7 separate regions of the Mus musculus genome follow, and all the other regions are reported to be linked to region 2. The links are microRNA targets in miRTarBase. Many come from high-throughput screens and were not tested one by one. Region 2 holds a microRNA gene; each other region holds the end of a gene's coding sequence. Distances are between the middles of the regions.

Evidence for each region. Region 2 holds the annotated microRNA mmu-miR-297a-5p (AUGUAUGUGUGCAUGUGCAUGU, at 2,360-2,381, opposite strand). A microRNA usually pairs through its seed, bases 2 to 8, with sites in the 3' UTR of a target mRNA and lowers its output. Matches are read on the target gene's strand: a 7mer-m8 pairs with bases 2 to 8, a 7mer-A1 pairs with bases 2 to 7 and ends in A, and an 8mer does both.
Region 1: miRTarBase lists Pdcl as a target of mmu-miR-297a-5p. Seed matches in the 3' UTR shown: 7mer-A1 at 2,656-2,662 and 8mer at 1,915-1,922.
Region 3: miRTarBase lists Vps33b as a target of mmu-miR-297a-5p. Seed matches in the 3' UTR shown: 7mer-m8 at 3,371-3,377 and 7mer-m8 at 3,357-3,363.
Region 4: miRTarBase lists St18 as a target of mmu-miR-297a-5p. Seed matches in the 3' UTR shown: 7mer-m8 at 2,217-2,223, 7mer-m8 at 2,237-2,243 and 7mer-m8 at 2,247-2,253.
Region 5: the mRNA of Cyb561d2 is a reported target of mmu-miR-297a-5p. The part of its 3' UTR that is shown has no 7-base or 8-base seed match.
Region 6: miRTarBase lists Plaa as a target of mmu-miR-297a-5p. The part of its 3' UTR that is shown has no 7-base or 8-base seed match.
Region 7: the mRNA of Serpini1 is a reported target of mmu-miR-297a-5p. Seed matches in the 3' UTR shown: 7mer-m8 at 573-579.

The regions. Positions count from the first base shown.
Region 1 is chr2:37,348,687-37,353,079 of GRCm38, forward strand. Pdcl (phosducin-like) reads right to left here. Exons shown (of 4, transcript NM_026176.3): 4 at 1,388-3,696. The coding sequence ends at 3,145. Among named protein-coding and RNA genes, the nearest start is that of Pdcl, 8.4 kb to the right of the region's middle.
Region 2 is chr2:10,515,065-10,519,457 of GRCm38, reverse strand. Mir297a-4 (microRNA 297a-4) reads right to left here and starts at 2,391; the gene lies at 2,294-2,391. The region is part of intron 10 of Sfmbt2 (Scm-like with four mbt domains 2); the gene reads right to left. Mir466l (microRNA 466l) reads right to left here and starts at 3,361; the gene lies at 3,241-3,361. It overlaps Mir669i (microRNA 669i), which reads right to left and starts at 1,854; the gene lies at 1,728-1,854. It also overlaps Mir669h and Mir297a-3.
Region 3 is chr7:80,290,315-80,294,707 of GRCm38, reverse strand. It overlaps Vps33b (vacuolar protein sorting 33B), which reads right to left. Exons shown (of 23, transcript NM_178070.4): 21 at 4,365-4,393; 22 at 4,144-4,260; 23 at 3,129-3,593. The coding sequence ends at 3,514. Prc1 (protein regulator of cytokinesis 1) reads right to left here and starts at 232. Exons shown (of 15, transcript NM_001374624.1): 1 at 117-232. The coding sequence starts at 127. It also overlaps a transcript of Rccd1 not described here.
Region 4 is chr1:6,857,557-6,861,949 of GRCm38, forward strand. It overlaps St18 (suppression of tumorigenicity 18), which reads left to right. Exons shown (of 22, transcript NM_173868.2): 22 at 904-3,384. The coding sequence ends at 1,044. Among named protein-coding and RNA genes, the nearest start is that of St18, 130 kb to the left of the region's middle.
Region 5 is chr9:107,536,822-107,541,214 of GRCm38, reverse strand. It overlaps Cyb561d2 (cytochrome b-561 domain containing 2), which reads left to right. Exons shown (of 4, transcript NM_001357289.1): 3 at 175-212; 4 at 830-2,204. The coding sequence ends at 1,333. It overlaps Tmem115 (transmembrane protein 115), which reads right to left. Exons shown (of 2, transcript NM_019704.2): 2 at 2,559-3,350. The coding sequence ends at 3,149. Among named protein-coding and RNA genes, the nearest start is that of Cyb561d2, 3.2 kb to the left of the region's middle.
Region 6 is chr4:94,565,798-94,570,190 of GRCm38, forward strand. Plaa (phospholipase A2, activating protein) reads right to left here. Exons shown (of 14, transcript NM_172695.2): 14 at 1-4,112. The coding sequence ends at 3,550. Among named protein-coding and RNA genes, the nearest start is that of Caap1, 11 kb to the left of the region's middle.
Region 7 is chr3:75,640,600-75,644,810 of GRCm38, forward strand. It overlaps Serpini1 (serine (or cysteine) peptidase inhibitor, clade I, member 1), which reads left to right. Exons shown (of 9, transcript NM_009250.3): 9 at 76-1,924. The coding sequence ends at 152. Among named protein-coding and RNA genes, the nearest start is that of Platr10, 13 kb to the right of the region's middle.

The sequences.
Region 1 (4,393 bases), 27 Mb from region 2:
GACTGGACACTCACTGGTCATGTTTTCTCTGCACTCTGACCAATTGTGAATCTCTGTAATAGTCTCTATCTGCTGAAAAAAAAAGAAGCTCCTTTGATGAAGGGCAATAGCTACATTTACCTGTGATTATAAGGATAATTACTTAGACTACCATTAGAAATTATTATATTAGTTTAGGAAAATGGCCATAGTAGGTTCTCCTCTAGGTCTCCTCTCCGGCCATGGGTAACTGTCTGGGTTTATAGTGAATTTCATCCCAATGAGCTGGTGTTAAGTCTACCAGACAGCTATTGGGTAGCCCTGAGATAAAAATGCCACCACTGAACTCTTGGAGGTATCTAGGTCTCTGGTCATTGTGGTTTTGTAGGTTTTACATCTAGGTAAAACTATGAATTATATCTCCCTCTTGGCAGCTTCCAATATAATGAAAGCCAGTGCTCAGGGAGAAGCCTTCAAGATCAGTTTGATTTCTCAAACCCCTGTATCTAAAGTGTGGGGTGTCTTCAGCAACAGGGCCTTACCTTTGAGTTCTGGAAGGCAGTCAAAGGGCAATGATTATTTTAGGAGTTCCCTGTGAATGTCCCAAGTCAAGGGGTGATTTCCTATGCCTAGCACTGGGATTATTGTCAAATACTTCATGACTCTTCAAGGGGGTGCCATCACGACACCTCACAGGTGTAACTCCTTGTGTCTACATGGGCATGTGCGTGCATGCATGCACACACACACACACACACTAATATACATATGAAGGTCGGATGACAAGTTTCAGAAGTTGATTTTGTACTTCTATTACGTGGGTTCCAGGGATGCAATTCAGGTCCTCAGGCCTGAGTTAAGTGATAAGTGCCCTTCTGAGGCAGAAGGCTGGTATTTGTTTGCTTGTTTATGTTTGTTTTTAGGACAGTCTCATTATGTAACCTATGTTGTCCTTGAACTCGTGGCAATGCTTGCACCTTACCTGCTGAGTGCTGGGATTACAGGAACAAGGAATCACACTTGGCATTGCTTTTTATTTTCTTGGTAAAAACCATTCTGCTTAGGGTAAGATGAAATCTCAGTGTGCTTTTGATTTGTTTTTTCCTGGTGGCTAGAGATACAGAACACTGAAACCCACCTCTTACCCTGCTCAAATATTCATCAAATAGATCCATGACTTTGAAACTATTAAAGTAATAAGCACTTCAAGACATGGATATAAGCAGTCTTTCTCAGTAGGAAAATAGTACCAATGTCAAATTTCCAGAACATAGTTTGTGAGTGGGACTGTACATAAAAATGAAAGTAAAGACCAGGATGTTGGAAATGCCAAGAACACAGTGCAAATCGCAAAGATGTTAAATGCTTTAGCAAAATGCTAGGAATTCAAATATCTAATATACAGGGGCTGAGTCAATATGGTATGATTTATTTAAATGGTGAACTTTTACAATATAGCAAAGTATTTTAGTATGTACTATTACATAAAGTAGGACACAGAATTCAGTAACTATCAATGTTATTAAGAATGGGGACAGAAGGATTGGAAAGAAAAAAACTAGAATACTTACATCAGCTTTCTCTGTTCCTAATGATTTTCTTCACTTCTACAATAAGCTCCTTAGTCAGAAAATGACAACTGTTTTTGTTGATTAAATCCAACAGACACTTTCAAGACTCATTTACAGTTAGTTTCTGAGCAACCAAAAAACTCAAGTGTGCATACTAAAGCTAATATTTACTTCCAGACTACATTTCTTCTCCACTGACACAAGAACATATAAAGAATAACTAAAAGGAAAAAAACTTGAATGACAATGAATTTTATAAATATACACATACACATAAAGCTATAAAGAGATCTATAAAAATGGTGACATAATTATCAGTAGTAAAACTGTATGGCTTTTAAATATCTTTTTAGCTTAATTTTTATTGTATGTTCTATGAGGGACACATTTCATAATAAAAGGTTCATAATAAAAAAGTTTGCCATCTTTCTAAAAACCAACCACCAAGCATATTACAGTATATCTATCAGTGGAAATATCAACAGCTATTAAAATGTTACAGAAGAGTATTTAATAACATGAAAAACATCTGATGTTAGTAGCTGACCATAATATCAGACACTATGCTCAGAATTATCCCAGTGTCATTTAAAGACAAACAAAAGCCAATGAATACATTAAAAAAAAAAAACCTATATATGAACTATACCAAAACATATAGTATTTAGGTGGCAGAATTACATTTTTAAACCATTTTTACATCTTTATTTTGGCCAATTTTCCTCTACTAAATATGATTTTTTTTTCCTAATAGGCAAAAAAGCATTTAAAAAAAGCTGAGGTTAAACAAGAAGTCGCCTTGTTAATAACAGGAAGAGATACTGATGAGCAGGAGTACAGAAAGATCCTCCCACTGAGGTTTTCAAGCTCCACACACACCAATGTCAGTCAATAAGATGCTTGCCTCCCAACATGACAGCAGTCAGCAAAAACCATCCTTTCCTGTTCATTATGCTGGACTGGACCACTGACCGCCACAGCAGAGGCCACTGCTAACTACAGCACCAGGCACCATCTGGAACCTTTAGTCTTGACAGTGCTAGGAATCAGGTATCTTGGGGCCATGTGCATAGTAAGAGTTCACCACCGAGCTACATTCCCAACCTTGTATGGACCCTGGTAGAGACAGATCTAGAGAAAAAAAGTACAGCTATGCATCTGATTGCAAGTAAACATGATTTGCAATCAAGTGATTATGGAAATGCACTGTTTACATTGCACAGAACACACTCACTAGGGAATTCTACTCTCAGAACTGGTAGAATTCTGAGGTCATCAGAAGACAATTTTCAAGACATTGCCTGCAAGGGTGCCATGTCAATATTGACTGGAAACAGTATCAGAGATGTCACGCTAGAGAAGTAAACAGCTCAAGAACCTAGTTTCCTGCTTATATAATTTGAAGTCACTTTACTGCTAGCTACAAAGTGAGTCAGCATTCTGATTTAATCTAAGAATTTCTTGACTTTTCACATACTAAATGAGACTACAAAGAACAGCTGTAAAGCCAGAAGACACAGGAAGGACAGAAATAAATACAGACATGTGTCCTCCAGCCCAAACAATGAGATAGCTACGGAACTAGATTATCAGTTCAATCTATTTCCAGATCGCTGTCTTCACTGTGACAGGTGGCAGAGTTTCGCACAGATGTCAGCACCAAGACTTCCTTTTCTGGGAGCAATCCAAATTCCTGCAGGAAAGCTTCAAGGTCTACAGCAAAGAAATCTTCCCCCAGCTGGTCAGTGACTCGAACAAAATTGCCAATCAATTCACCCGCCTTGTAGATGAGCAGAGCAGGAAGGGCATTCCGGGTAAAACGACTACTGGCCCCAATAACTGAGCTCCTCACCCGACAGAATTTGACGGCGGGGTACTCTGTGGCAAGGCAGATCATGCAGCCATTCATGGCTTCAGTCCCTGGGACGCCATCTTCATAAATATGAACCATGATAAGTGTGCTTTTTTGTTCTTTATCAATCATATCTAAAAACCCTTCTCCACTGGGGATTTCAAAAACTTGCTTGAATTGGGGCCCTTTATGAAACTGCTGCCGCATCTCTTCCATCCTCTGCTTCCGATACTGCTGCAAAAACTCTTCATCATCCAAGTTCTTGTCCTTTGTACCAAACTCCTTTAGAGTCATCTGCATGAAAACAAAGACAGGCAAAGAACACATTTGATCAACGTGGATCTGCACCCTGTACTTAGAACACATGAGACTTCACACTAGTGTCTTATTCATATTATGTCATCTCTCTCAAAATTTGTATGGATGGAGTGTATTTTATGTGCACCAGGTGCACGCTGGTGCCTGTGGAGGCCAGAAGAGGGCACTGGGTCCCTAGGAACTGGTGTTAAGTTGTAAGCCAGCACATGGGTGCTGGGAACCAACCCTGGGTCATCTATAAAAACAAGTACTTTTAGCAACTGAATCTCTTTCCAGAGATTCAGATTTTCCTCTTGGAAATTTTTTTAATTACTTTTACTTTCAGGGGGTGGGGGAAGGGGAGCATGCTCATACCACGGTGCACCTGTGGAAGTTAGAGGACAACTTGCAGGAGTTACTTCTCTCCTACCATGTGGTAATTATGACTATAATAATTGAATTCACCTATTACTGGGTTCTTGAGTTAATCTCATTGGAAGAACTTTAATAACCCCATTTTCTAAATGTAGGTATTAACCCAAAGATTTTACATTATTTGCACAAATTCACACAAGTATAAAGTACAAGAGTAGAATTTTTAAAGATCTAGTTTTTTTTCAATGATGTGTATTTATGTGTCTGTGTGAGGAGGTATGGATGTGCTTACATAGTTCAGCAGAGAGTGTCAGATTCC
Region 2 (4,393 bases):
ACACTTGCAAAGTGGGCTCTGCTTTGGTGTCCTAACACGGGACCAGGCGCTGGTATTTTAGACCCAAAAATCAACGGAAAACCAACGAAAGCAGTGAGAAGAAGTGCAATATTCGCCTATGTCTCAGGGTGCTCCAAGGTCATTTAAAACAGTAGGCATTCATGCATTCCCATGAGTTCTTCTTATTTACGATCAGGGAATACTGCAGAAAAACAACAGAACCTTAGGCAAGGGCAGAGGAACCAGAGAGTCCATTTGACCTGAACACTAGCCACAACGCTGCTTCTTACAGAAAAAGAATTAGGCTGGGACACATTTCGTACAACAATTAAAGCACTTCTCTGTGTAAAAGCAAGCACAGCATTCTAGTTTGAATTATGTTAGGAGACAAAGATATCACCAAAAATAGACTCTAATATCATATAAATATCAAGTGTTGACAGGGAAAAACAACACTTTAAAAAAATTCTTAAAGAATTATTAAATAAGCAAAAGGATTCTTAGTTTTTAACGACCAGAAATGTTTTCAATATTAAGAGCAACCCAGCTTTACCTCTTAACCCCATTCAATTAAAAGTGACCTTTTTCATAGAGAATGAAAGAGAAGACAGCTATTAATGAGGGAGGTATTCCAGTCTCCCGAGCCAGATGAACGATAAATTTTAAATTAAGATATATTGCAATCTGAAAACTCAAAGAAAATCATCAGGTGTACGAAAAACCAAAAGAATCACACCATAGCCTGCCTGTGTGCTGAGTTCCAGAGATCCAACTCAGGCTGTCAGGTTTCCACAGAAGCCATTTTCACCTGGAGGGAGAACTAGCCCTGGATCCGTTCTGCATAAGCTCTAAAGCTCTGAGTCACATCTCATTCAAATAGATCGATCAGAGCCACTAATGTGCGTGTAGGTGAATGCCAGTGTGTGTGTTTATGTATATGTATGTGAACATTCATATACATACATTTACATGCACACATAAGTATGAACCCATGCACATACATGGGGGAGGGCATCACATGAATCGCATGCTGATCTCTAACTCATCATGAAGTGAAACATGAATTTGAACTCCAGGACCTCCTGACGCTGGCAAGAGTATTCACCTCCTAACTGAGACATAGCTCTGGCCCAGTACTGCATAAGCTCTAAAGCTCTGAGTCACATACCATTCAAAAGGATAAACGAGTGTCATTCCTGTGTGTGAGTGTGTGTGTGTGTGCATGTGTGTATATGCATATTCATATAGAGAAATGAATATGCACTCAACTATACACCCATGCATATTTTTGGTGGGCATCACATGAATGCCAGGATGATCACAAACTTATCAGGAAGTTAAGCATGAATTTAAATTCCTGATCCTTCTAACTCTGGCAAGTGGTTTTCACCTGGTGAGTTAGATGTAACACTGACCCATAATTATACACTCTATAAAACTCTAAGCACATATAAATCAAACAGATCTATGACTGCCATTCTTATGTGTATATGTATGTGTGTGTGTATGTTCATATACATGCATGTACAAGCACACTTACCTACACATATATACACATACACAAGGACAATCAAATGAATTCCAGGCTGATCTCTAACTCATCATGAAGTTAAACATGAATTTGAACTCCGTATCCTCCTGACTCTGGAAAGAGTATCCACCTCCTAACTGAGGCATAGCTCTGGCCCAGTACTGCATAAGCTCTAAAGCTCTGAGTCACATATCATTCAAAAGGATATATGACTGTCATTCCTGTATGTGAGTTTGTATGCATGTGTGTATATGCATAGTCATATAGAGAAATGAATATGCACACAACTATACACACATGCACATTATTGGTGGGCATCACATGAATGCCAGGATGATCTCTAACTCATCAGGAAGTTAAACATAAATTAGACCTCCTGATCCTCCTGACTCTGGCAAGAATACTCACCTCCTAACTGAGACATAGCTCTGGTCCGTTACTGGATAAACTCTAAAGCTCTAAGTCACATACCATTCAAAAGGATATATGAGTGCCATTCCTGTGTGTGCTTGCGTGTATATGCATATTCATATAGAGAAATGAATATGCACACAACTATACACCCATGCACATTTTTGGTGGGCATCACACGAATCGCATCTGATCTCTAACTCATTATGAAGTTAAGCATGAATTCGAATTCCTGATCCTCCTGACTCTGGAAGGATTATTCACCCGGTGAGTGAGATCACGCACTGGCCCAGTCATACAGAACCTCTAAGACTAAGTCACATATCATTCAAATGGATCCATGAGTGGCGATTTTGCGTGTATTTGTGTGCATGCTTGTATGGGTATGTGTGTATGTATATGTATACTCATATACACACATGCACATGCACACATACATATACACACAGGCACATACACTGGGGGGGGGGGGCGCCATCACATGAATCTGAAGCTGATCCCTACCTAATCATGAATTTGAGAATGAATTTCCACTCCTGATCCTCCTGACTCTGGCAAGCATTTTCACCTTGTGAGTGAGAGCACCCACTGATCCAGCCCTGCATAATCTCTCAAACTCTAAGTCACATACCTTTAAGGCCTGACTCTGGCAAGCACTTTGACCTGTTGAGTAAGAGCATGCACGGGCACAGTACTGCATAATCTTTAAAACTCTTAGTCACATATTATGCAAGTAGATGAATGCAAGTCACCATGTGTTTGTGTGTGTGTTGCATGTGTGTGTGTGTCTGCACATGCATATCCATATACATTCATGAACATGCACACACATGTAAGCACACGTGCACATACATGGGTGGCATCAAATGAATACCAGGATGATCTCTAAATGGAGTTTGAACTCCTGATCCTCCTGACTTTGTCAATCATTTACACCTGGTGATTGAGACCATTCACTGTCCCTCTACTGCATAATCTCTAAAACTCTAAGTCATATATCATTCAAATGGATCGATGAGTACCATTCCTATGTTTGTGTGTTTCTGTGCTTGCATTTATACATGTGTGGATGTTATATATATTCATATACACACATGCACACACAACTATACACACGTTCACATGCATGGGGGGAATCACATAAATCACAGGCTGATCTCTAAGTCCTCATGAGTGTAAGCATGCATTTAAGCTCCTGATAGACCTGACTCTGGCAGTTGTCTACACCTGATGAGTGAGAACACTCACTGTCCCCGTACTGCATAATCTCTCACCTCTAAGTCACATGTTATTCAAATGGATCTAAGAGTGCCATTAATGTGTGCGTGTGCATGCATGAATATGTGTGCATGTATTTATATGTATATCAATATATATATACATGTACATGTACACACAAACACACATGCACATACATAGGGGTCATCACATGAATGCCAGGTTGATCTCTACCTCATCATGCAGTGAACATGAATTTGCACTCCTGATCATCCTGGCTCTGGCAAGGGGCGTCACCTGGTGAGTGAGACCTCTCTGTGGCCCAGTCATACAGAATCTCTAAGACTCACATATCATTGAAATGGATCGATGAGTGTCAATTTTCTGTGTGTTTGTGTGCATGTTTGTATGGGTATGTGTGTATGTATATGTATATTCATATACACACATGCACATGCACACATACATATACACACAGGCACATACACTGGGGGCATCACTAGAATCCGAAGCTGATCCTGGACTCATGAATTTGAGAATGAATTTCCACTCCTGATCCTCCTGACTCTGGCAAGCATTTTCACCTTGTGAGTGAGAGCACCCACTGATCCAGCCCTGCATAATCTCTAAAACTTTAAGTCACATGTCATTTAAAAGTATCAATGAGTGCCATTCGGGGTATGTGTGTGTGTGTGTGTGTGTGTGTGTGTATGTGTGTGTGTGTGTGTGTGTGTGTGTGTGTGTGCCTGTGTGTATGTGTTTGTGTGTATTTATATGTATATTCATATGCACACATACATTAGCACACAAAACTATGCAACATGAACATACACTGGGAAGGAACCCATAAAGCCAGGCTGATCTCTAAGCCATTTTGAAGTTATTCATAAATTTGAACTCCTAATCCTTCTGAATATGGGAAGCTTTTTCACATTGTGAGTAAAAAGTTTCATTAGCCCAATACTACATAATCTTTAAAGCTCTATGTCACACATCATTCAAATGTATCAATGAATGCCATTCCATGTTTGTGTGCTTGCATTTACATGTATGTTTATGGTATGTATATTTATATACACACATGTGCATACACAGGGACGTAAACACACATGCACATACACGGGTGGCATCACATGAATACCAGGATGATGTCCAGCTGAAGTTAAGCATGAATTTGAACTCCCGACCCTGCTCAATCTGTAATATGTTTGCACATGGCGAGTGAGACCGTTC
Region 3 (4,393 bases), not on the chromosome of region 2:
GGCTTCGAGCGCCCCAGCCACAGACATCGGTGCCTGAAGACCGGCGAACCCAGCTTGTCGAACCTGGTACCAGACCCGCACCTCAGTAATGGGTCCCGCCCCTAAGAGACCCGCACCTTCTCCTCATGGTGGACGCTCCAAGCTGTCCAGAATCGAGACCCTCCACTTGCCACGCGCGGGACGGAGAACGGTAACCAGCCGCAGCAGACTTCACCCGGAGTCCGTCTCCACTCTCGAGCCGTTGGACCCCGCGGAATTCAAACCGAGCCAGAGGCGGTGCCAAATGACAATTGGTTACCGCGTCCGCCACTCACGGAGCCCCGCCCTCGTCCCGCCCCTCCTGCGAAGGGCTGCTGCCTAGGCCTGGGATACAGAGACCGCCTAGGGCGTGGGAAGCGCTTGCACGGGGAGCGTGCGGGCCTCAATATGCGCATGCGTGCACCTATGCCCGCCTCAAGGGTGGGGTGTAGGGGTGTGGCCGATGATGTCACCGGTACCCACTGAGTTGCTGCCGTTGGGTTTCAAATTTTTGTGCTTCCTGAGAAGTATTGGGTAGACTGCCAGAACAGCTCGACTTCTTGCTACTCTCCAATGTCCCAAGAGGAGCAGGGACTAGCAGGAAAGCTTAGAAGGAAAAAAAAACCAGGCTCTTGGTCCTGGTACCTTAGTGGACAAGTTTATCGCATTTAATCATTAGAACACACCTGTTAATAATGATCATCACTATCCTGAAGAAAAAGATTTGAGTAGCTTTTCCAGAACGTAGGCGGCAGAGACAGGACAGGGAAATAGTTTGGGCTACAGGAAAAAACTGACTTGCCCAATTTAGCTGTGAGCAAATGGTGATTTGGGCTTTGTTTTTCTTGCACATTATAAGATTTAGGTAAATCAGGAAAACTCCACAATTTGAACATGACATCAAAGTATTTGTGTAGCCGGGCGTGGTGGCGCACGCCTTTAATACCAGCACTTGGGAGGCAGAGGCAGGCGGATTTCTGAGTTCGAGGCCAGCCTGGTCCGCAAAGTGAGTTCCAGGACAGCCAGGGCTACACAGAGAAACCCTGTCTCGAAAAACCAAAACAAACAAACAAACAAACAAAAAACAAAAACAAAAAACAACCAAAGTATTTGTGTGTCCTTTTCTTCCCACTGACCCATAGCATCTGTATCCCATTTTCAATGATTTACTATTACCTAATACACTGCTATGGGAGTATCTCCTTTGCTACTCAGACTAAAATTTGTAATAAAGCTGAGATGAATTTCTTTTTTGCTACCTCCTCCAAAATGATTTGTAGAAGTGTAATTATTGAATTCTCCTTTGCGAAGAGGTACTTATTAACCTATCTTCTGCACCAAACTTTACCTGGAGTATCCTTGTTACCCACAGCACTGGTGATTAGCAATGCGCTTTTAAACCACTAGCTTCCATCTATAGGCCCAAAATAAAACAAAATCTAGTTTATACTGAATTATAACTAAAATTGTCTGCTTTTCTGTATTGGTCAACTGTACCATCTATAAGAGTCTCATTATTTGCTTCTCTTTTTTATGATAAATACATTTATTAAATTTGTGTGTGTATATGGGGTGGTCATGTGTGGAGAATAGAGGGCAACTTAAAAGATTCAGTTTTCTCCTCCCACTGCATGGGTCTAGGAAGTAGAATCCAAAGCTGTGATTCTCAAAATGTGGGTCTTGAGCCCTTTGGGGGGGGGGGGGTGTCAAATAGCCCTATCACAGGAGTAGAATAGCAGACATCCTACATAACAGATATTTGATTCATAACAGTAGTAAAATTACAACTATAAAGATATTTGTTTATTTGCCTGTTTATTTGTTGAGTGCTAGGGTTATCACACCCTAGCAAGCCAAGCGCTATCACACCCTGACACACCTGTTTTTTCTGAGACAAGGTGTCATTCTGTACACCAGGATGGCATGAAACTCATTGCATAGCCCAAGCTGGTCTTGAACTTGTCAGTCATCTTCCTGCCTCAGCCTCCCATGTGCTGGGATTATAGAAAGTCATTGAGTTTGTCATCAGAAAGATTTTTTTCTTACTTTTAGAAAACAAAACATAATATTTTATTTACTAGGCACAGTAATAGAAACCTGTAATTACAACATGTGAGAGGCAGGAGGATCATGATAACTTCGAGTCCAGCCTGGTTTACATAAGTCTAGGCTAGCCAGTGATCATGTCTCAAAAAAGGAACAAGTAAACCTGTCTGTTTAAGTTAGAGCAGTAACACATTTATCTTCTGGAAGTGTACTGGAGCACAGAACCTTAGGATGGGAAGGCGTGTGTGCACCACTGTGGGCCACTGCAGCCTTCCTCCTCCTATACACGGGAGGTTAGTGACTCCCTCCAGGGAAAACGGAGTAGGCCCAGGATCGTTGAACTATTTTAATCTTATCCCTGTCTAGTTTACGTAAGAATGAGACCCAGCTATGGTTATTTTATTTGACTATGACAGTTACTGGCAGTCACCCCTAATCTACTTTTCTAACTGCTAGCCTCACTACCTCCCCAGTGGTGTATCCCAGACACTTGCCGCTTCTCCTGGCCTTGTGCTCATGGTCCATCTTCCCTCACAGTGGCTTCCTCCTCCCTCTGTCTCCTTTCTTTCTCCTTTGTTGCAACTTCCAACCATGTAACTCAAAACCCACCTATCTCTAATCCTTCCAGTAATTAGCTGTTCCATTTTATTTAACCAATAGTTTTAAATTAAGGAGCAAGGTTTGTACAACAAAGGTTGATAAATGTGAGAACTCACTCCTGGTACAAAATTTAACATTACAATATGTAGCAACAGACCAAACCTCCTCCAAGAGTAAACAATGAAAGTCCAGGTCATGAAGCACATGAAGCCCCCAGGAAAGTCTCACTATGTAAAAAAGGAGATTGTATGTCTAGGACTACAAAGATATTGCATTTGAGAACAGAGGTGCCCAGCAGTGGTTTAAAAACCACTTTAATCCCAGCACTCAGGAGGCAGAGGCAGGCAGTTTCTGAGTCCAAGGCCAGCCTACTCTACAGAGGAAGTTCCAGGACAGTCAGGGCTATACAGAGAAACCCTGTCTTGAAAACAAACAAACAAACAAACAAACAAAAAACAAAGAGAGAGAGAGAGAGAACAGAGGCTTTATTTACAATAATATTCAAACAGGATTTGCAAAGAATACCTCTCCCCTCATATCTTAGCAGCATGAACTATATACAATTTATAAGCAAGAGGAGTATCCTGGAGGATAGGACATGAATTCTCTCCCCCAAAATTAGTTCCAAAGTTCCCAGCTCTGAGTATTAAGTGTAGCTGGGGTGTGTGTGTGTGTGTGTGTGTGTGTGTGTGTGTATGTGTGTGTGTGTATGTGTATATGTGTGTGTGTGTGTGTGTGTGTGTGTGTGTGTGTGTGTGTGTGACAGGAATCGTAGAAGGTAGATGCCAAACACCAGCATCTCACTGGGATCCACAATCAGGAAATACTTCAGCACTGGCCAGGAAAACATCAGGATTTCACCTCACTCATGGCTTCCATGAGGCGAGCACTGTTTGTAACAGCAGTTGTCAGAAAAATAAATCTGTACCCTAAGAGTCAAGAGAAGTAGCAGAAGTGACTAAATAGACCTCAGGTCCCAACAGGCCAAGCCCACCACTCCCACAGCGCCTCAGTGCCCCAGGATCAGAATGCAGGGCTACAGGCACAGATACATCTGGGCATAGACACATCTGGACCTGCCTGTCCCCAACAAGTGAGGAGAAAAATAGAAAATAAAACTATCAGTTGTTGGCTGGGCAGTGGTGGCACACGCCTTTAATCCTAGCACTTGGGAGGCAGAGGCAGGCGGATTTCTGAGTTCGAGGCCAGCCTGGTCCACAAAGTGAGTTCCATGACAGCCAGGGCTACACAGAGAAACCCTGTCTCGAAAAAAAACCAACCAACCAAACAAACAAAAAACCCCAACTCTCCGTTGCAGTCTCTAGGGCACTGCTATGTGTCCAGCCTGGCGGGACTATGGTCCCTTGCCTCCTGCTGCAGCAGTTCCCAGCAAGGCTGTATAAGTGGTAGCACAGTCAACAGGAAAACCTTCCTGGGTAGCACATGTTGTCCCCAGAACCCTCGCAACCCCGCTCTCACCTTTCTCTCTACCCAGGAAGCGCAGGGCTGATATCTCTGAGAACGTGCAGCCCCCCAGGAACACCACCAAGATGAGGCGCAGTGACTCACTGGAAGCCTTGTCTTCCTTAGCCGTGTCTGAGGATCAGAGTGGACTCCCATCTTTATCACACCCAGTCCACGGTCATGGGTCCTGCCTAGCTCTCCCTGGCCATGCACAGTGCACTAACAATGCCCCATACCTGTGAATGCAAACTCACTGCAGTTTAGC
Region 4 (4,393 bases), not on the chromosome of region 2:
ATGCTTTCGCAATCTAAGAACACGGTAGATATGCATATTCAGATAATTCAAGGCCAGTGGCATTCCAAAAGGCCAGGACTCTTTAAGGATGAAGGTTTACTTAAAGCTATCTTATAAAGTTATTTGAAAGCTGGATGCCAGAGCTCACTCACTGTAAATATGTTTTCAAACAGTTGATTCTATACATCCCTCAGCATCATCTACTCAACTCATGAACTATAACACTCCCAATAATCTCATTGTAATATTCAACTTCTTTTCATGGAACATAGAATGCATGTGTGTGACCAAGGCATCCGTATTCCTATTCCTATCCCTTATCTCTTATCCCTTACCCCTTATTCATAAGTATGCAACTATTTAGAATTCACAAAAAGTTTATTCTACATTTTCACAAATGTAAATCAGTCTTTGGAGTTGGAGATGCATTGCTGGGAGCTATATTGGTGATGCTGTTAATTTCCTCAGCTCAGTACAATCCCTGCCATTCCAACATAGGACTGTTAAAGAACCACTTGGCAAAAGCTTCATCCTCCTAGCATACTTTCCACAGACAGCTGGTTTTATACTGAAAAGTGCAAATGAGACCCAGACTCTTCCCAAGAAAAGACATATAGTTTGGACACCTCTAGCTCAGCATTTATTATGTGGTTCCAGATTGATCCCCAATACTATTCAATTGCATTCCATTAATGCCATGAGTTAAGAGTATACAGATAGTACACACACACACACACACACACACACACACACACACACACATTTTCTGTCCTATCCCAAACTGCCACAGTCCTATAAACCCTTCTTTTCCTACTTATATAAGTTGGCAACATTTGTCACTATCTCCTGATCTTCCTTGGGGCAGCTGAACCTCTGTGATTGGTTTCCTTGTGTCTCCATCAGGGGCCTATCAATGAGCAGAATTTTGAAGCATATGTAAATACTCTCACAGACATGTACAGCAATCTGGAACAGGACTATTCCCCAGAATGCAAAGCTCTACTGGAAAGCATCAAGCAGGCGGTGAAGGGCATCCATGTGTAGAACGACAGTATGCAGGAAACAGAGGTCACTACGGCCATGAACTCCCACAAATCTGCAGGGGCCTAATACCCCTGGAGCCCAGAGGCTGTCCCTGTGTTTATAATTGCAACATTGCACTAATTTTTCCCCAGCTGACATAAAAAGGAAAGAAAAACTATGATAAACTCTTTGGATTAAAAGCAATGCAGTCAATTATTAAACTCGTTTATTTTCATATCTTTTTCTTTTCTTTCTTCATTGCACTCTTTATTTTGTAAAGTATATGTAAAAATAAATGTGACATTTTATATTTTATTTATTACTAATCAAAGAGTTTTTTATCTTTTAACTGCATTTTGAAGTCTACTATATTTTTACAGGTGTGTTTATTAATTTATCTTCTAATAGGATTTAAATAGAAATGCTGTTCTCAAATCACATATCTTTCTGGATTTAAATGAGAAAAACAAAACAAAAGAAATGTATGAAGGAAATCCTGATGTCAGGACTACACTGTGGTCAAGCTTGGTTTCTACTGTGCACTTCCATTTCTCCTTTACTGGTTTTGTTTTTATAAATGGCTTTTGGTAATGTGAGCTGTGAAGGATTATGAAGATAAATGGCGCCCACTAGTGGGAAATCCACACTCACAAAAGCACAGGATGTTAGCAAACAGCGCACTCAGAACTTGATAGCAATAATTAAATAAAATAGTCAGCATAGTATTCCACATGGCTGCAGAGATTTAATTAATATGAATTATTTATTTAGACTGCTTAAAGCATACATTTTAAGTGAATCAGATTTGTCTTCTTGTTTTTCAAGTCATATTGGCTAGTTGGCAACCCTTTCCCAAAATGAGAAATAAGCTTTGATGGGACCAGCTTGGCTTTTCCTGCTACACGTTAGTACAATATACAAGTGACAATGTTGGTGTAGATTTGTACTTACAACTACAGACACATCCAAATGGAAATTGTGTAGATACCGTATCCCCTGAAATAGCATTTATCTTACTGGGTTGACTGGAATAGAATGCAAAACAGAAGGCCTGAAAAAAAAAATGCTATTCCAAGCTAAGTGGTTACCTTGAATATTGGCAGCATTGGTCTTTGCTTCCCTAATAAATAAGGCAGTTTCAATTTGATAAAACTCTTGAACTTCAAGTGACACAAAGGATGTTACACACACACACATACATGTACACACATGCACATACACACACATACAGACACATGCACACACACACACACACACACAACAGCACAGTCTACACACATATATGCACTCACACTCATCCACACGTGAAATTCAACCTGCAATCTCAACTGGATCAGAGTTTAGAAGTTGCTGTAGTAAAGGCAATGTCTATTTCAGGGACTGTAAAGTAGTTAAGCATTGTTTCAAAAGTTTTTTTATATTTATTTTTTTTAAGGAAAAGGTATAGACAACCAGCTAAACTGCCTTTTTGGTGTGCACACACATTTCATGTGCAGATGTGCCTCTATGTAAAAGTACACATGAACTTTAGTGTGGGCTTAATTTTCTGTGCTATAATAAAAGTGTTTATTTTTTATTAGCCTCATGAATATTTAGATTTAGTGTGATGGCATTCACAGGCTTGAATTCACTGTTACTACTGTTACATGCTCTGATACATGAGAAGTGGTATAGTCACTCCACTCTCGTGGAACCGTGGATATTGTTATGCATCACGTGGCGCTTATCTTTGGCTTGGGGTTCATTTGAACTCTTGAATCTTAGTTTAGTGAAAATGAGATGTCTGTTCTTAGGTAGGAAAGGTGTTTATTTAAAGCTCAATTTTAAAATAAGCAGCTACTGCGAGTAGTGTCTACTATAAATGGGACACAAAGTTTCCTATTAAAGTATGTCTTTGAACATTTTGCTACACAATACTTCAAAGAAGCACACAAATGGGCTCACTTATTACAAAGACAGAAGTTTACTTTGCTAAATATTTTAACAAGTTTGTTATATATTTTATTTAAAGAGATCTCCTGCAATCCTATGTATTTATTACTATAATTTACATGGCTTCAGTTAATTTATTTGTGTTCATATAGTTTTATGAAGTGTATCTGTATTTATTTGCCTCCTCGTACTTGTGTTTTATAACATGCACTGAATTATTTTCTTTTCAACTATGTTAATGATTGATACTGTAAATTGGGTATTTTGTAAACAAAAACAAAGGCAGTGATGTATGCGTTTTTATTTGAAGTAGTTTGTTTGTATACTGTTTCTCCAAATGATTAATATTTCTTACATCATTGCAACAAAATTGTGTTCAGTGCTGTGCATTTGGTGTATGGTAGGAAATAAAAATTGATAATGAATTTGGCCATGATATTTACTTTATCAAGACAGATGTCACCAACCCCATGACCCACAGCTCCTGATATGGTAGAAAACCTCTAACACAGAACAATTCCTTCTGAACACTTTTACCCTTGGTTGAGAGGATTCTTGGTTGGTTAACATCTTGATTGGTTAACACCTTGGTGTAGAACATATCTCCAAAATGGGGTTTGCCTTTGCCTTTGCTAGAACTAGAAAGAATTTTGCCCAGATCTAATGAATAGCACACAAGGAGTCCTTTCCTGATACCAAACTGCTGGAGGTCCTGAATATAGCTTACATTTATGCAAGGTAGGTTCAAAAAATGTGATAATTCTAGGCTACCTGCTTTTGTTTTCCTAAGTCATCAGTATTCTCTACTTTTGAGTTTCTAGCCAGACTTACACATCTCTTAAATATGATTGTTCCTCATAGGCAATGTAAAATTTACTCAAATTAACTAAAGAGAAGTCTGGATCAAAGCGGGAGCTGGGCTTAAATTAGGTTTGCTTTCAGGGAGCACCACGTACTTTCAGTCACTAAGCTTACACGAAATGCTCATATGTGTTCTGGGAAAGCGATGCGAGCTGCTCAGCCAGTATCTTAGTGTCTACTTAATTTAGTATGTTTTACATCCTACCTTGGTTTTTGCTGTCTATGAGAAAGTTGTATCTACAGTTCATGATACAAATTTGTCATAGAATTGTATCAATTCTACTGGGACTTAGCAAGATCTGCCCTTTCCCATCACATATTTCTAATCAGAACAAACTTCCTGAGGTCTTGAATTCAGTGAGGACATGAGGCAAATGACAGGTATTATGACATGTAAATATACAATTTCTCCTGTAGAAACAGCAAGAAGGTTTGCTATCCACCTTGTATTTCCTGGAAAAGTGTGAGTTCCAGATTGGTCGAGACACTGGTAAACGACATGGCAGGCAGAGGAACCGCAAGTATGGAGTGTGAAGGGAAAATACCCATGAATAACAAAGAAAGTACAAAAGGAATC
Region 5 (4,393 bases), not on the chromosome of region 2:
GTGCTTTCTGTCCAGGGAAGAGAACAGGGGGTGGGTAAGATGAGCTTGTTACTGGAGGAGGCTCGCATTTTGACCCCTCCTTGGGTGATGGATGGGCTGTCCATCCCGGCTATAGAGCCTGGTATGCTGGTTTCTTTTTCCCTAGTTCCATGAGGCGCCCTCTTCTCATTCCAGGTCTGTTCTCCTGGCACCCCGTTCTTATGTCTCTGGCTGTAAGTAGTGGGTTTGGGTAGCTTTTAGGGGTAGAATGTGGGCGTTGTTGGTGGCTCTCAGAATCCTTGTAGGCATTTAGTGCCAGTGTAGACGAGCTGTATGTCCTCACTCCTGCTTCTGACGAATATCCAAGGCTTGAAAACGGTATTCATGACCCAGGACGAACAGATGAAGCTCACCCAAGCACAAAAGGGCGGCTTCTCTCACCTCCAGCTAGGAAGCTGAGAAATGGCATTTGGAGGCTGCTCTGTCCCTAAAAACCTTAATTTCTGGTGATGCATCTAATTGTCCCTGAAACAGTGCACCCGTGTGGCTAGCTCTTGCCAAGAAATTGTATCCTGCCCCATGGAAGGGAGACAAAGCTTGTGAATCATTTATAACTGCCATGTCTCAAACCTTGTTTGCTGGGTCACATAGCCGAGGTGACATTTCAGAAAAACACCCAGGAAGAAGTCTGGAGAGGCAGCTCTAACTACTCAGGGCAGCCATTTTGTGCCACACAGGGCCTTCATCTTATCAAGTGCAGCATTTTGTCCTTGGGGGAAGGGGACGGAAGGGGGTGCACCTTTGTGGAGGGTTAAGTGCTCAGAGCTCACTTGAGTTTTTGTCTCCTCAGTTCTCCTTCCTGATGACCGAGGCACTCCTGATGTTCTCTCCTGAGAGTTCCCTGCTGCGGTCCCTCTCTCGGAAGGTCCGCGCACGCTGCCACTGGGTGCTCCAGCTGCTGGCCCTACTCTGTGCTCTGCTGGGTCTAGGTCTTGTCATCCTCCACAAAGAGCAGCTTGGCAAAGCACACCTGACCACTCGGCATGGGCAGGCAGGGCTGTTAGCTGTGCTGTGGGCAGGTCTGCAGTGTTCAGGGGGCATGGGGCTGCTCTACCCCAAGTTGCTGCCCCGATGGCCCCTGGCAAAGCTGAAACTCTACCACGCCACTTCTGGGTTGGTGGGCTACCTGCTGGGCAGTGCCAGCCTCCTGTTGGGCATGTTCTCACTCTGGTTCACTGCCACTGTCACTGGTGGTGCCTGGTACCTGGCTGTGTTGTGCCCCATCCTCACCAGTTTGGTAATCATGAACCAAGTGAGCAATGCCTACCTGTACCGCAAGAGGATCCAGCCATGAGCACTCACCAGTTATTACGAAGGCTGGATTTGCACCTCAGCTTCGGACCAGGAGCTCGGAACCTGTTGGACTCTCACAACTGACAGGGTCTGGGGACATTTCAGGGACTAGGGCACTCAGGGGTAGATCTCCTCACACTAGAGTGTCTCCCTTTTCTTGCTGTCAACCCAGGGGAGCATGGTCATGTGTCTGGGTGAAGTTGGAGTTGCAACAGTCTCCCCAGCAGCCATACAGCTTATATTTGTACTGGTATGTCCAGAAATCATGGAGGAAAGAAAAGTAAAATAAACAAACAGAATCCTGAAAACCTGTCGGGAGGAGCAGCGCAGAGTTGAGGATGGTTCTTGCTAATGCATCATGGTAAGAAAATGGTCAGCTGGGTAAGGAGGGGCCCCTCCTTGAATGGGAGTCCTCAGAGCCTGCTGTGAAACTTCCTCTGATCCCAGTGCATTGGGGGGCTAAGTGTGGACGGCACAGCTATTTCCAGCTAATTGTGCTAGAGTCTGGAGACTATGGCCAGTGACAGGAGATGGACTTAGAAGTTGAACCATGGTCATTTGTGGTGGCGGGCAGATCTCTGTGAGCTCTAAGCCAACCAAGGCTACATAGTAAGATCCTGTCTCAAAAGGGAAAAAGAAAGTAGAATCATGAACAAGAGAAATTTGCCTTCTGTTTCTGAGACAAGGTTTCAAGTCTCCCAGGTGGGCTTTGAACTCACAACATGGCCTAGGATGACAGACTTCAGATTCTCCTGTTTCACCGCAGTGCTAGGATTATAGATGTATGTACCATGTATGTCCATACCATGCCCCACTTATGTAGTGCTGGGACCCAAACCCAGAGCTCTGAAATGCTAAGCAAGTGTTCTGTCATCCAAGCTATGCCTTCAGCGCCTGGTTTTGTTTGTTTGCGACATGGATTATAGATATGTGCCACCATGCCCTGCCTAAGCCAGCACCTACTGATGGAGAAGTCTGTCAGGTCCACTGGCTGAGGGTCTCCCCAGTAGACCGAGGAGAGGGAAAAGGAGAAAGGGACTAAGGTGATGGCTCAGGCAAGACTGCCCAGCAGCAGGTGTGTATTAATAGACAAGAGGTATGGGCAGTGGGATTCTTAGCCAGGTGGAGGTGTCATGGAACTGAGCCCTAGAACCCAGAAAACACATTTAACTTTGCATCTGATAAAGATGAGAGGGCTGCACAAGGTGGTCTGACGGAGCCCAGGAGCCAGACCTCAAAGAACCGCTTTATTGATACTGTGAAGCAGGTTTGGCTGCCCGCTCAGATGGTCCTGTAGAAAATACCTGGGAGCTGTGGCAGCCCCGGCTAGGCACAGTTGTCACTGCCACAGCAGAAGGGCACAAGAAACCCTGATGAGAATGCAGTCTGGGGGTGGGCGGGGATGTTCAGACCCACACTGGCTGGGTCCCCAGAACATTTTTGGCAAACACAAATCCTTGCCTTGGCTCGGGGCTGTTGGCAACCAGTTTCAGACATAAGGGCTGGCCCAGGAGCCGTGGCACCAGTGTCCCTGCAGCCACTTCCTTGGTGAGGAATTGTACCGCTGAGGTACAATCTTACTGCAAATGGGGATCTGCACTGGCTGCTGCTCAGAGACCCCGTACCTGGCATTGTGGTTGTCTGGAGTCAGAACCAGGTAGCAACAAGGGTCCTGTGTTAGTGTTGTCCAGACACAGCGGAAGGCCACAGGAACCCCCAGCAGACCCTCTTCCCTCTCCTCAGAGCAGTCAGTGCTCTGCAGTAGCCGAGACGGATCGGGAAGGCATGGGAGTAGAAGAACTGCACTCAAAGTGGTCTAGAGTAGGGGAGCTGTCTCCAAGGTGATGAGACTGGATTCCGGGACGGTCACCTTCCCTGGGGGCGTGGAAGCTTCTTCTAAGGGCAGAGGACTGTCCGTTTTTGCCCCAGCTTCCTCTTCGTCATCATCCATGCTGGGCCAGGCTGACTGATCCTCCACTCTCTTCAGCCGCTCATTGAGAGCCTTTAGGGCTAGTTGCCTGGAGCCAGAAGAGAAAAGGCAGGTTACACTGGGTTTGGGAGACCAACATACTCTGCAACCTTCTTCAATAAGGCCAAATCCTCCTACCAAAGAGGTTTGCCTCCAAATCCCACGTTTCCCATCCCCGTGCCGCGTCTAAGAGCCTGGGCCAGGATCTGCTTTGGCAATTGAATGAGGACCCAAGGCACCTCCAGACTGAGAAGGCTACCTAGATGTTGGCAGCCTACCTAGCAGGCCAGCCACCACGGATACTTCTGAGTTTGCTAGCTAAAGACGGGTGGGTGTAGTGCTTCTGTCAGGAGTGGCGTGTTTCAGTCCCTAGAAATGCGTCCCACGTGCGCTGGTGTCATTTCCAAGGGCAGGGTTATTTGGCTTTGTGGTACTAGGGATTAAAGCGAAGGCCAGCACTCCACCACAGAGCTGTCCCCAGCCCTTAAACACTTTTTTTTTTAGGCAGGTCCATACTGCTTCAAACTAGCTCTGTAGCACAGGCAGCCCTTGGATCTCCTGTCTCAGCCTCCCGAGTAACAGGATTAGAGCCTGTATCACCAGGCTCCCTCAGCGAAGGGCTCTTAATGAAGCAGCCTCAACTTGCATGGCCCTTCCTATGACAATTTTTCTAGAAGCTTTTCTCAAAGCCACCCAGACCTTAGCAGAGCCTTTGTAGCAGAAACAGCCATGTGGGAAGGCCAGAGAGCAGGGTCTGTTGTTTCCACAGGGTAGACTTCTGCAGGCATTATTTTGAGAAAAGGTGGGAAAATACCCTTGGAAATTTTCTTTAGGACACCCGAGAAGTCTCAAGCTGTAGGGCCTGCAGCATGCCTTGAGTGCTTTCCCACCCCTTGGACACCAGCTGTAAACTCTTTTAAGGAAGACACACCCTACACACCAAGCTACCCAGCCTCAGTGAAGGACAAGTTTCCAAGTGTTCAGCACTCTTGCCCACAGAAGGTGAAGTGTCCGTGGATCCCGATGGCTTACCTCTTTGCTGCTACAGGCAGACACGCCACCCTATGGCGTTCTAAGATCTAAAATTTCTAC
Region 6 (4,393 bases), not on the chromosome of region 2:
TCACTGAATTTTTTATAACTTTTATGAACATTAAAGGAAAACTCATGGGAAAATGTTAAAAAGGGTCTTCGGTATTATATCTATAATCATACTTAAACTATTCAGTACGTTACAGAAAATGCATTAGGAATTAAAATTAGAAAGTTTAAAGATTTATTACTTTTAAATTATGTGTAGATATGTGGGTCTACATAGGCACCTGAGTGCTGAGACAACAGAGGCCAGAGGTATCCAGTCTTTCTGGATCTGGAGTTAGCAGGCAGTTGTGAGCCATCTGTGAACTGTGACTCTAACTCAGGTTGTAGAAAAGCAGGACACAAACTTAACCACTGAGCCATTTCTCCAGTCCCTAGAAAGTATATTTTAATACAACTAAGTAACACTTTAAAATTTACATATTTTTTGCAGCTACAGGTTTTGCCTGTATATATCTATGAATGTATGACGTATGTCCCACATGCTTGTGCCTGGCACACAAAGGTCAGAAGAGACCATGTCCTCTGGAACTGGAGTTATGGATGGCTGTGAACCACCATTAGGTATAGGGAACTGAACCCAGGTCCTCTGTAAACCAACAAGTATCCAAGCGTTGAGTCATCTCTCCAGCCCCTGGGTAAGTCTTAATCCTGAGCAGTTAAGTTCTCTCTTAAGACATGCAGGAGGAAATCCTTTAAAGACCTGAAGGAAAAATAACACATCAAACACTTGTCTATTCATCTTATCACTTCTTCATAAAATGCTGTGTGGTAAGCACCAAGTAACCTACATTTAACTCCAAAATTATCTTTGAAAAAGATTTATCTTTAGCTATGTTTCTACCAAACTGCACTGGATTAAAAAAAAAAAAAACTATAATGCTGTGTGGTTGATATATATTACCAGTAAAACAAACGCAGCTAGTCATAAGAAAACCACAGCAGTAGCATTTATAAGGAGATAAAAACAATAGTTAATGAAAGGGACATCACGTATGTCTGTAGTTGAATGTATAATGTAGTTGAAAATACAGTAGGAGATTCACTAACCTGTAATTGTCCTAGTGGAGTTGATTTAGACAGACATCAATCCAAAATTGCCTATTAACTTGATCCATCAATTTTATGCATAAAATATATTCCTAAGGGAATGGTAAGATTGTTGTGCAATCTTTAATAGCATTGCTTGATAATCAAAAGCAGGAAAGTTTCAGATACTAGAAAATGGGTATATTAATATAATGGGATATTAAAGTTTCTGACCAATACATCCCTTTTTGAAAAATTAAAATGCATATTTACATACATGTCATGGTAGTATAAAACTAAGAATGGTTTTCTACTTAGTAGGATTACAGTCAATAAGATGTGTGTATGCTTTACTAAATGAATGTTTATTTCTTTTATATTCAAGAAAACATTAAGAGGTCTATAAAAAAGTTTAAAGAAAAACAAAATATGTAAACCACCATTTGACAGGTTCAAGTGAGATTATGTTTTTGTTAGGCTGTACAAATAAAAGTTATAAAAAAGCCAGTGATAAGAAACAAAAGTATTTACAATTTGCCACCTCTTACATTCTGAAGAGTGAACTCATGTTTTAAGTAAGACCACATCCATTCTTTTTTCAAAGATACCCACCCTGCTTTTCAAAATATAACATAAATTGTACTTAAAATTGCATGCTAGAATGGATGTATTAACAAGCCAAGTGTTATAATGGCACCAGGATGATTTTTTTACCATTTAATTCTGATATAAAAATTTAACTCTCAATTCAATACAGGTAAAGTATGAATACATAAATGAAACAGCAACATGAAGTTTAAAGTTCAGGTACACACAGGAACTTGGAATTTAATACTCAGTAAAGCACACATCCTCTATTTACATTTCCTCACTCCCTTTTGATATTCTAGAAGTTCTTTCCTGTATTAATCTCAACACTCGGAATCTTCTTCCCCTTAGTGGAAAAAAATTTGTTCTTCTTAGACTGTGATATGGCATTAAGTCAGGAAACCCATGGCTCTCCATAATGGCAATGTTGAGATCACTGCTCACCATTTTTAACAAAGTCCTTATAAAACCATTTCTTCCATAATCAAGACGAAAGCCTGGAACTGGGAATGTAATCCAGTGAGTAGACCTTCCCCAACATGCAACCAGGTTTGGTCCCTAGTACCGAAAAACAAATAAAACCAAAAGGCACACACATACACATACCAATATAAGTACACTTCTTAAGAAAAGGGACTGAGCTGGGAGTGGTGGCTTTAATCCTAGTACTCAGGAGGCAGAGGCAGACAGGTTTCGGGGTTCAAGGCCAACCTGGTTTATAAAGTGAGTGCCAGAACAGCTGCTAATGAAACCTTGTCTGGAGAAACCAAAAAAAGAAAGAAGAAACAGCACTGTCATAGACATAATGAATTGTTCAATTAAAGGATGTCTCCTTTGTTTTAGTTGCTGGGCTGTTTAGAAACAAACCTGTGGCTTTCCAGGAAGCTGCATCATGGCAAGTGCTCTGTGTAGACTAGACTACATGGAGTACTCATGCCTTTATGTTCATGTTTAACCTTCCTATTATAATTTATTCTATTACCTTTCCTTTTGAAAACAGAAGCACAATAACCACTTTTCAAAGAAAGCTGATTTGAGAATTAGATAGCAATGTAAGACCTGGACCATTCCAGGGACTAAAAATACTAATTTCACATGACAGGTTTTTTTACTTTAAAGTCTGATAAATGTTGCTTACACAATTGCCTAGTAAAAGTAAAAAAATTCCAAATATTCTCTTTGAAATAATGAATATGATCAACATGTACAAAACTGAAATGAAAGATGACACTACTACTTCAAATGGTGAAGGATAAAAGAAATGATTTAACTTGTAAGATATCAAAACTAGAAAAAATGAAGTTACCTCATATAGTGAAAGAAACTCCTAAGCCATACTCATTTAAGGCCTCAGTTGTCTGAAATGATATGTAATATAACAGCTTACCAATGTGCTTTCTTCATGTAAAATTGAACCATGAAAGATGATACTTTCTATTTACAAATGGCTCAAGAAATTATTGTTATTTATCAATTTACAATTTATAACAAACTTAATTGAAATGATTTTTCAAGTAAATCCTAAAAGAAGACCTTGAAATGCATCAGTGCTATTGAAAGAATACAACAGTGAAAGTGGAGAAGCTAATGTACAAAAGAGAACAGTCAACTGAACAAGATGTCATAGATCAGAAACAGGTTATAGAACCTCTGTGTTCTCCTGAGTGGTGAAGGTAAGGAAGAAAATGCTGTTATAATTGTGCTGTTATTGGTTATAGTTTTTAACATTTCTACACCCTTGAAAATCTACTCCATTACACAGGAAAACCTCACAACCATCAGTGCAAAAACTTTATTTATAATTTGTTTCTCCTCAACACAACTTTACAAGATCTGAACTTAATCCAATTTTCCTTTCTTTCTTTTTAAACATCTGCAATCAGTCATGTAAAATGTGGAAAAAAACAAAACAAAACAAAACAAAAAAAGAAAACCCCTCAGCGTCTTTTCCCCACTGCTACAGCAAATGTAAGACAAGTCTACAGCATTCACTCACTTTAGCTGGCTCTGATACGGAGACATACTTTTTTATTTGAGAATCAACACCTAAAGATTTGGCTAATTGTATAGCATTTGAATCATCACTGATAAGTGTCCCAAGAGCCACAAGGAGTCTAAACGTGGCTTCTAGGTCTTGCACAACTTCCAAGATTGTGCTAATTACTGAGAGGCATTGAGCTTTCCCTTCAATGTTATGGTCTTTATGGAAACAAACAGAATAGTTCAAGGTCAATGTAGCCAGAGCAATATGAATGTTCTTATTACTCCCGGATTTCAGTTCTATTGCATGTGACATCAGTGACTCCCTCTGGGACATCATGAGCTTTTGTCCTGCCTGACTAACAAAGCAATTGCAAAAAGTCCTAAGAGCAAGCAGCTGGTTTGCTGGCTTTCCTTTGGGGTTCAGAAGGTTGATAAGATGGCTGCTGAACTGGTCTCCTTTTTCATTGCAGAAATTCTCATTCACATTGGGATGCTTAATCGATAGGCGAAGAATGTCAAGTGCAGGAAAGACAATGTCTGTTAAAAAGAAATATTCATTAACGTGTATAAAAAAAAATCTAGAAAATTCCTTATACCTATTATTCAAATGTACTTTATTTTCCCACTACAAAACAATTGTTTTTAGAATATATAAAAAGTTATTTTTATATTTGCACAGTGTTGAGATTTGGTCTGTTGCTATGTATTTTAATGCTAAATACTGGCCCTCAAGATGTGGTTGTCCCCAATGAGGAGATCCTCATGTATACCAAGTGATGCTTTGAATTCAGCTCCTTACTTTAAAACTATTTGTTGAA
Region 7 (4,211 bases), not on the chromosome of region 2:
TTCCAAACATTGCTTCCAGGAAATATAGGTCTCATGGTTTTCTTTCCTCTTCTGTTCATTTCCAAACCAATCCAGGCATAATCTTATTCATGGGACGAGTCATGAACCCTGAAACAATGAATACAAGTGGCCATGACTTTGAGGAACTTTAAATGACGACGTTTGAGTACAAAGAAAGCAGGAACAAAGCACATTATGTTTGCAAGTGGTATATATTTAGGATTTCTGTTTTATAGTGTTACTTAGGGAAATATTTAAATAGTTCTGGATAGTAGTAATCCATGTGACCTATAAGTTAGCCTGTCAAAAGCTGTTATCAGTATAAAGAGTATGGTCCCATTGTGTCATTGTGTCTGGTGTGCTGCTGTTTAAAATAAAAGTACATATTGAAACTGTGAACCACTTTTTTTCATTTTGAAAGTAGTTGTAGTCTATACAATACTATGTCTGAGATTTGAAACCTATGCTGTTTCTTTAGGAATTGTAGTAAAATGATCCTACAAGGCAAAATGTAGAAACTGTTGTTTCTGAGTTTCTTCATAATCATGCAGAATCAAACACCAAAGTAAGCAACATACATATATATATATAATAAGCAATACTGTGAAGGGGAGGCCAAAAGGCCAGAGAAATTGAGATTGTTATTTAGTGTGGCATTCCATGACAAAAGATTTAGGAGGAAATGTGGGATATGTAAGACCCATAGATGTATATTTTGTATATACTGTAGTATTATACTTTTAATTTATTAAAGTATAACTCTTTTATTTATTTTTAAAAGTTTCCTGTGAACCAATATGCCACATGACTCTACTAGCAAGTTCAGATATCTCATTAGCTATTCTGGATGACATCAAGAGGCCTCATGGAGGGAATCCCGTGTACCATTTACGTTTTAGTGATTTTTTGTGATGTTCACACAAAGATGAAATCACATTGTTGCACACTCTCTAGACTATATCCAAGAAAGGCATCAAGTGGTACATTGGTGTGCCAGGAAAATAGATGTAATTACTTTATTAAAAAAGTTCCTGGTATTGTGCATCATATGGAATCAGTGCTGCTTAAACTTAGTACGTCCTGCTGACACCTGGTCACTTATTACAAATATAGGTTCTTATCCAGGATGTCTAAGGTAGAGTGGGAACCACAGCTTTCTATCATTACTGACATCCAAATGATGCCGCAGATATCTGACCATAGCCTTTGCTGAGAGTCCCTTGGGTTGCAATGTCGTACTTGAAGTCAGCCTCACATTTTCACAGACTGAGATTGGAGAGATGAGGGTGCAGGGAGGAGATAATCTACACTAGTGATACGATGCCTTTGTCAAGCACTGGTGTGATCTCGAAGTATTTCTAGTACACACTCTAGATAAATTCTTCTGTACATTACAACACTTGAAATGCAGTCGTTAAAAATATGGAGACATTTATAGGCAATACCCATGAAAGAATTTATGACTATCCGAGGACACAGTACTTAACAATGAATCTTTTACAGCTTATATTTTCAGAGGACTTGTAGTTTATTCATAAATCTTCATGTTATTGTACAATAGTGCTCTTGTTTTCATTTATAATTTATGAAGCTGAGATGCCTGGTGTTAATTCAGTGTTCACATTCTCTGCTAAGAACAGTCTTTATCTCTGTATCCTTCTTGTTAATATGACATCTATAGCTATATCTATATGTTCATTAGTTAAACAAATGTATGGCCTGTAAGGAAGAATAAACATTATTATGCAATCATGTGATTATGTGATGTCCCAAATGTTAATTTTTATTAAAAATAGATATAAGATTTAATTCTTGGAACTTTTAATCTTAAAATATTTCAATATGTGTATAAGTTAGGTGTTACTTAGTTGAAAATGGATGTCTTGTACTGGCAGAAAAGCTAGAAAAAATAATTTACAATACCAAGCTTTTCTTTGTATTAATTTAGTATTTCTCTCTCTCTCTCTCTCTCTCTCTCTCTCTCTCTCTCTCTCTCTCTCTCTCTCTGTGTGTGTGTGTGTGTGTGTGTGTGTGTGTGTGTGTGTGTGTGTGTGTGTATACCAGAACACAGACATCCATATGCCACAGGATGTATGTGAAGGCAGAGGACAAATGCCAGAGATTGATTGCCTCTTTCCAACTTGGAATCCCAGAATCTCACTTGAATCATCAGGGTCGTACATCAAGGACTTGGACCCATGGGGCCATCTCCCTGACCTTCAAGTTTTTCTTTTGTTTGGACTTGGCTTTTAATTTCAATACTTTTCTTTCTCTTGAAAAACTAGCATTTCATATTTCCTAATTGTTTTATTCTCTTTACAATGAATCATTACTATAAGTACAAATACACATGTGCATACACACACAAGCACACACACACACATTGTGCATAGAAAGGACTTTTATTCTACGAACTTATGTTTGAGAGGAAATCAACAACCATTCTGAAGTTTTTGATAGTAACTGAATTTAGTTATTCATGTGTATGCAACAGACTGGAATGGATAATTATAGACTCTGATCTATTTTAATATCACCATCAAGTCCAAACAAATACTAAAAGTATTATTTATGTGTTTACTTAAATACTCAAGACATTCATTTTATAAGAACAATGAAAATCAGAAGAAAATACAGTAAAGAACATACTTCCTATTCATTAGATATGCATCTTATACAGAACACAATTCAGTGATTTTTTTATATATAGTCAGTTTCTTGAATTTATAATGATAGTCATTTTTTTCTTATCTGAAAATCTATCTTGGTTTTTCTCTAAAACAAGAATAATGGCAGCATTTTATTTAATAGCTTCAGGCAAGTTAAACCAGTTGAAACTTGTCTTTTTGAAGTAAAGATCTTTTCTGCAATCTTGAGCAAAGATAAAATACAATTCAAAAAAAAAAAAAAAGAAAAGAAAGAAAAGGAAAAATATTGGTGAAAACTCTGCAACTTTGCCTTAAGCTCAGAGCCTCATGGTCATGGTCCATCTTCTAAAGCAGACCCAATGCAAGATTCTTTAGTTAAATGATTAATCTGCAGAATTTGCTAAGGTAGAGGAAACATTCTACGTAAGTCCCAAGGCTGCCAGTAGCTTCAAGGAAAGCTAAATGGCCTCTTAATGTTCTCGAGCACGTTAAAAAGTTACATAAATAGAAGTAATATTATACTGACTGAGCAAGTTGTACTTGGAAATATATATGTATATACATATGTATGTATTTGCTCAATAAGAATTAATTGAAAAAAGAGGCTAAGAATTTGAGGGGAAAGAAATGTGGTAATTACATTATAATCTCAAAGAAATTCTTGAAATAAACTTAAAACAAATCTCCAGTTGACTAAAGCAACAATTAAAAAGAATTTCCAGGATTGAGTGACCATGGGTCCAAATAGTCCAACTCAGTTCTTCATCTATGAAAACTGATTGAATCATTAAGAGTGTATGACAGAGGGGAAACTAGGAAAGGGGATAACATTTGAAATGAAAATAAAGATATATATATATGTATATATATACATATATATATATATATATATATATATATATATATATATATATAGAGAGAGAGAGAGAGAGAGAGAGAGAGAGAGAGAGAGAGAGAGAAAGAGAGAGATTCTGATCCCAACAAGACCAGATACTGAGCCACCAACCAGGGAGCATACACCAGCTGATATGAAGTCCCCAACACATATACAGCAGAGGATTACCTGGTCTGGCCTCAGTGAGAGAAGATGCACCTAACCCTGGAGAGACTTGAAACCCTAGGGAGTAGGGAGGTCTGGGGGTGGGGGAGGATTGGGGGATGGGAGGTACATCCTCTTGGAGACAGGGGGTGAGGGGTGAGGTATGGGATGGGGAGCAGTCAGGGGATGGCAGAATAGGAAGGGGATGAATACTGGACTGTAAACAAAGGATTAAAGAATAAAAAGGAGTGTTTGATAAGTGGCCCACTGACAAGTCACATATTATTCACAGCATTTAGTAATTTTCCTACTTTCAAATTGAACTGGTAAATCACTCCATTCCATTCTCTTCATGTTATGTGTCTTCATGTGCCTGTAGATTGGTGTTTATCACTGTCTGTCTCAGTGAGTGTGTGCTCGGATGTGTCTTTATGTATCTCATATGTGTCTCGATATAGGTTTCTCAGTGTGAGGATGAATCTCTCTGTGTGTGTCTGTGTGTTTATCTGTATCTCTGTGTGTCT